Linked DNA regions of Kluyveromyces lactis. The protein of the gene in region 1 interacts with the protein of each later gene in a pairwise test. Links are inferred from orthologs where the notes say so. Each region holds a gene or a part of one and is shown in the gene's direction. Other genes may lie near its edges. The genes, in order: TAD3 and TAD2.

Evidence for each region.
Region 2: the proteins of TAD3 (region 1) and TAD2 interact in binary tests that used the Saccharomyces cerevisiae proteins (3 or more experiments, as listed by UniProt). The link is inferred for Kluyveromyces lactis from reciprocal best matches to the Saccharomyces cerevisiae genes TAD3 and TAD2.

The regions. Positions count from the first base shown.
Region 1 is NC_006039.1:1,626,146-1,629,238, forward strand, and holds TAD3 (Tad3p), read left to right. Parts: upstream 1-1,587; coding exon 1,588-2,574; downstream 2,575-3,093. Other genes in the region: EST2 (telomerase reverse transcriptase), read right to left, coding at 1-1,305; NKP2 (Nkp2p), read right to left, coding at 2,580-3,035. UniProt on the Saccharomyces cerevisiae protein: Structural subunit of tRNA-specific adenosine deaminase, which deaminates adenosine-34 (the first, also called wobble position of the anticodon) to inosine in many tRNAs.
Region 2 is NC_006039.1:944,078-947,116, reverse strand, and holds TAD2 (tRNA(adenine34) deaminase), read left to right. Parts: upstream 1-1,661; coding exon 1,662-2,378; downstream 2,379-3,039. Other genes in the region: FSH1 (putative serine hydrolase), read left to right, coding at 700-1,428; SNX4 (Snx4p), read right to left, coding at 2,603-3,039. UniProt on the Saccharomyces cerevisiae protein: Structural subunit of tRNA-specific adenosine deaminase, which deaminates adenosine-34 (the first, also called wobble position of the anticodon) to inosine in many tRNAs.

The DNA.
Region 1 (3,093 bases):
TGATTTTTTTGGTATTAAACGAAGATTTCTGTGATTGAACTTGGATTCTGTGAAAGATCTGTGCTGGAAACAATATTTATTCTCAAGCAAATACCTCCTAAAGTAAGATTTCAAAAAAGGTTGTGACATGGTTTTCCAAGTATCATGACGAATATAAACTATATCGACAGTCGACGATAGTTCTGTCACATAGAAAAATGTAGATAGTAATTTTGGGACGTAACAGGAAAGGATCCAAAAAAACAGTTTATAAAGAAGCGCTTGTCGATTTTTCACATCATAATATGGAATCTTTTGAGTTTGTTCACCAGCTGGAAGCCGCCTTGTTTCTAGCCATTTGACATCTTTCACACGCAATCCTTTACATAATTCATCAAATAGTATCTTTGAATGGAGCGGTTTTTTGACAAGTATTGCAATCGCTTTTGATAGAACGCTATAGTTTGAATTTGATCCTAACAGGTCCAATGGGAACGTTTTTCTAACACATACAATGAGCAGTTTGATGACACTTTTGGGTGATGAATAGAAAGTATCTGATTTGGGGCATATATTATTGATGATGTGTCTATATGAAAACCTCTCGTGAGCTCGAATGAGCTCATATAAAATGGGTTTTAGATTATTCAATGCAAAGTTTAGAGAACGAGGTGTCTTACTGCTCTCTGATATTTTCGGAAAAATCTCAGCTATTAACAGCCCCTGATCAGTCTCAATGATATTCTTGTAATCTTGCGGTCTTATCTTATGATATAGAGCAGAGTTCCAATCTATCGTTAGCTTAGTATTTCTTTCCCTCCTATACGACCGATCTAGCCATGCAGGTGGCACCTGAGGCGCGTTAGCGGGGGTTCCAATTATCTGCCTGAAGTAATGGCCGGTGTTGAAATATACGGAATAGTTGATTAACAAATTCACAAAATTGTCAGTGCCAACCAGCTGATGGAACAATCTCCAGCTATTACATTTCAATACACTTACGCTTATGTTCGATGAACGGCAAAACAGTTTGGTCATGACATCTGAATTCTTTCCCAGCTGGTAACCATAAGTCAGTATATTATTCGTAAAATTCTTGTGCAAAAGGTAGAGAATGCATGTTTCTATAGTTTCACAGTGATACGATGAGCTGAAAGTAGAAGATATTTCAATTTCAGGAGGTACGCAATGTTTGCTGTTAACTTGTGCGAAACAGCTGAGTAACAGATTGGATACCCCATTAGAGTCAGCATTGATCAGAATATCCGATTTTCTGAGGGTTTCATAGCACTCTAAAGATTCCAAATATTCGACAAGAATTTTCATCTAAACCAATTGATATAGGTCATTATTCGAAGTCACCTTAGTCATCTCGATGATCAATTTAAGGTTCTTATTAATTATTCTCAGTGTTCATCTTTCTTACGAGCATGATCTAAACTGGTAAATAGTGTTTCGTAGCCTATAATTTCTGGATATGAATTTTTCAATGATAGAAATGTAAGATGCGATGCGATGAGATGATATACTAATATGTAAAGGGTAAAGGAAATGGATGCTTAATTATAGCTCTAGATTTACTAGTTATTCACATGAAAAGCTAACAGTATGGTTAAGAAACATCTGAACCCCACTAAGATCGATTTTATAAAATGCATCGTCGAAGATTGCCTCTGGCAAATTCGAGATACCAAAAACGTTGATGTGCCTGATCTAGTTGAGGCTTGGTCTATCGAAGTACGTCCAAGGGAAAGTAAGTCAGTGATACCATTCGTACGAGGTATTCAGGATAATGACCCCGTTTCATTCCTTCATGTGAAACGGATCAAGAAGCTTGATAGCGACACACTACGAGTACTTATCGGCTCCAAAGAGTACATACCGGATAGATCAACTTTTGACAATATGCTGAAAGGAGTCGTTTTCCAGTATGACAATGTGAAAGACGATAACAAAGTACCGAAGGTCGGTCCATCGACTAAAAGCTTAATGTTGAAGTGGAGTGAACAGTATTGGCCGTTAATTTGGAGAGGAAATCCTAATGACCAGATATTAAACGACTATATATTTGACATGACAGAGATTCGGTCATTGTTAACCAAGATAGCAGAAGAGTCTCGAGCAATCCGAGATTCGGATAGCATGCAACTTCCAATAGTATCGGCATTCGTTAATCCAAAATCTGGTAAAATTATAATATCAAAGGATTATAGACATAGTGGATCTCCCCTCGATCACAGTGTTATGGTCGGAATAAATGAGGTAGCTAAAGAAGAGCAGGAGAGAAGAGACCGTGTCCAAAACGGTACCGCGTCAGAAAAAGATATACATCAAGGGGAAACTTATCTCTGCTTAGATTTTGACGTATACACCAGTCATGAGCCGTGCTCAATGTGCAGCATGGCACTAATTCATTCCAGAGTGAAAAGATGCATATTCATCAATCCTATGTCGGTCAGCGGTGCACTGAAACCTGATTCAGGTGATGGATACTGCATGCATTCAAACAAAGATTTGAACTCCAAGTATGAAGTCTTCCAATGGGTTGGTGAAGAATTGGAAGTGCCTGGAATAGATTCTACCGTGTGTTCTTGAGCTTTTCAACTAGAAGGTTGGTTGGTTTCCATGTCCGTTATTAATTTTGCAACATTATCGTACATGGAAGTATCTATTGCTTCAATGTCACTGAGTTCCATTGCATATTTCAAAAGTTTTGTATTTTTATTATCTAGTTCAATGTTTAATTGATTTAAATGCTGCTGCAACATATCATCAATGCTATGCAATAGTTTATTTACTTCCTCGAGAGAAATGGAGTCTTCAATTTGTTCCCGTTCGAGCTCAACTCTTATCAAAGACAGCTTGTTGTCGATGAGTTTATCTATTTTTTCAATGATCCGTTGATCATTCTCTTCATAACTTTTGTATAACTGTGACGCGATCACAGTGTTGGATTCCGGTATCGTTCTAGAAAATAGATCAACAAACTGATCCTCAGTATACAAACGTGAGACTAAAATGCCGTCTAAATGCTTGTATAATACTTCGTGGAGCATAGTAATTGAAGTAATAAGGATTTCGGGTATGTACTTTTTATTATTCCCAGCGTACGCA
Region 2 (3,039 bases), about 680 kb from region 1:
CTAAGATACCTGATCTCATTCGCAAACGGTGCTGTATGTCCTCTTCTTTCAAATGCACCATGTCCCCTTTGTTAATACATACGATAACAGATGGTTTTTTGTACGTTCACATTTGTTACAATGGAACTTTGTATGAGTGAACAGAGACCTGGAGGCAGCCATTGGCCTAGCCCACGCGCCTCGTATACCGTTCAGTATCTTTGGTACGTGTCCGAACATCTTATAAAACTGCGGTATCGACGGCGGTCCGTTTACCTTTACCCAGCATCACCTCTATCATGTTTTGCATTGAAATGCTGTTGTGAAATCGATATTTTTACTAAATATTTTTTTTCGCTACGTAGAAATAGAGACACCTTTCAGTAGATGATTAAGAGGGTAGTGACGAGTTGACTACCCTATCGCTTGGCCGTCATTCTCAAACTTCATTATTCAGTTAGCTAATGAGTATGCGGTATAGTCTTATTAAAAATAGTAATTTTCATGTCTAAAAAGTTGTGGAAATCCTAAGCTGCTGACCCTTGTTGGTTTAGCCTATAGTTGAAGCTTTTTTCCTCTCGGAGTTAAGAGAATGGATATATATGTGAATAAATGTCTACATCAAGTTCATACTTCTAGCTGTTAATACTGGAAAGTAAAGAGGCTAGCCTTTGCTAATTGACCGACAAATAAAGACAACATCTCACAAATCCAGGACTAATGACTACAGCAACTGCTGCTCCAAAATTACTGTTTCTGCAAGGCTTCTTACAAAATGGTAAAGTCTTCAGTGAGAAGTCTTCTGGTATTAGAAAGCTACTGAAGAAATCTAATGTTCAATGTGATTACATGGATGCGCCAGTGATCCTTGAAAAGAAAGACTTGCCTTTCGAAATGGACGATGCAAAGTGGCAAGAAACCCTTAATGCAGGTGTTAACAGAGCATGGTTCTATCATAGCGACATCTCATCTGAATTGGATTTAAGCCCAGCTATTGAAGCTGTCACTAAATATATCAAGGATAATGGTCCATACGACGGTATTGTTGGGTTTAGTCAAGGTGCTGCATTGGCTTCTATCATCACTAACAAAATCACCGAATTGGTCCCATCTCATCCTCAGTTCAAGGTGTCCTTGTTGATCGCTGCTTACTCTTTCACTGAACCAGATCCAGAAAATGAGGGACAATTAAGAATCTCTCAAAAATTCCAAGATTCTTTCAAACCTATGGATGACCGTACTACCAAGATGCTGTTTGTTTATGGTACCGCAGATATGGCTGTTCCATGTGAAAGAGCGAAGTATTTATACAACATTTACACTAAAGGTCAAGAGTTAGATGACTGTAAGGCTTATGAGCATCCAGGTGGTCATATGGTTCCAAACAAGAAAGATATTATCAGACCTATTGTTGAAGAAATCAACACATCATTGGGAGTTAGTGTCTAATCTTAGAATTACAGACAAGATAGCATAGATAATTTCATAGACTCGATACATATTTCTTTATCTTTAATTCGTCGTTTGTTCTACTGTTCTGTCAATATTTCTTATAAGGTTAATATTGAGGAATGTATGTTCGAAAAGAAACTATATAACGTTTCCAGGCAGTTCCGATGAGCAAGAAAAAGCAGCGCATGCAAGAGAAACCGTGGTGAAATATTCAGCAACGACTATAAACGATGTCCCAGGACCTTCTGCATATGCGTACAGCCATTACGCTGGCGAAATATGCTTTAGATCATGAAGAAACCCCTGTTGCCTGTATTTTTGTACATTCAAAATTAAACAAAGTCATTGCATATGGGATGAATGGTACCAATGAGTCGATCAGCGGCATCTCACATGCTGAATTTATGGGCATAAAGCAAATTCAAGAGAAATATGGGACGGACCCTAAAATACTTTCTGAAGTTGTGCTATATGTCACCGTTGAACCGTGTATCATGTGTGCAAGTGCTTTAAAACAGTTGGGTATCAAGAAGGTAGTATTTGGTTGCGGAAATGAAAGATTTGGTGGGAATGGATCTATATTATGCATTCATAATGATACATCTACAAATAAATCTAATAAATATGTGAGCATCCCCGGCGTTTTGCGCAGAGAAGCTATAATGCTTCTACGTTACTTTTATGTTAGAGAAAATGATAGGGCACCCAAACCACGAACAAAGAAAGATAGAAAACTGGATAAAGAGACCTTCCCTCCACTACAATGGGATAAGTATTTAACGCTCGAAGAGTTTGAAGATGAATTTGGCCAGGAGTTTAGAGATGCATTTTATTCGCATAGAGACGTCTACGATGAAATTGATTGGGATCTCATAGATACTGGCTGCGATGAAAGTTTTTTGCATGACCTGATTGAACAGGTGCAGAGTGTTAATTGTACTTATTGAGTTTGACACAATTAAACAATTCCAAGTTTTAGTGATGCTCACAACATGATGGATGTACTCTCTTTCTGGTTTTCGTTTTTTTTTTCATTGCATAAAGATAGCTAGATAGTCATAAATACTGAAACAAAAGTACAAACTTATTAATCGATGTCTCTACGTAATTGTTACGAAGCCTTTGTAGTGTTTTGAAACACAGTGAGAGGCTTCAAAAAAAAATCCAGCCGTCAGGCGCTTTCGAGACGTTCTTCGATCTTCGACCACTTCTCCACCATATCATCATAAAAATCAATATGTTTTTGAGCCAAAGCAGCTAACGAATCTTTCAATTCCAAAGTTTTTATTTGTTCAAACTGTTCGACCTCTTTGAGAACCTCTTTCTCAAATTCATCAGCGACTTGTTTTGATTTTTCGACTTCGTCCGTTAAAGATTGAACTCTGGTCTCTAATTTCGCTATCTTATCTCTTCTTGCCATTTCTTGATTGATACCAGCTAGTTCTTCCAGTTTACTCTTGAAATAATTTCCTGACCCATAGCCAGAAAGTAAATTATTCTTCTCATTTATGGATCGCGTTAGATACTCTGATAGCTCCTCGTAATCTATTTGTTTTTGATCTTTCAGCCTTATTAGTTGTTTCAATGCCTCGATATAGTTTATCATAT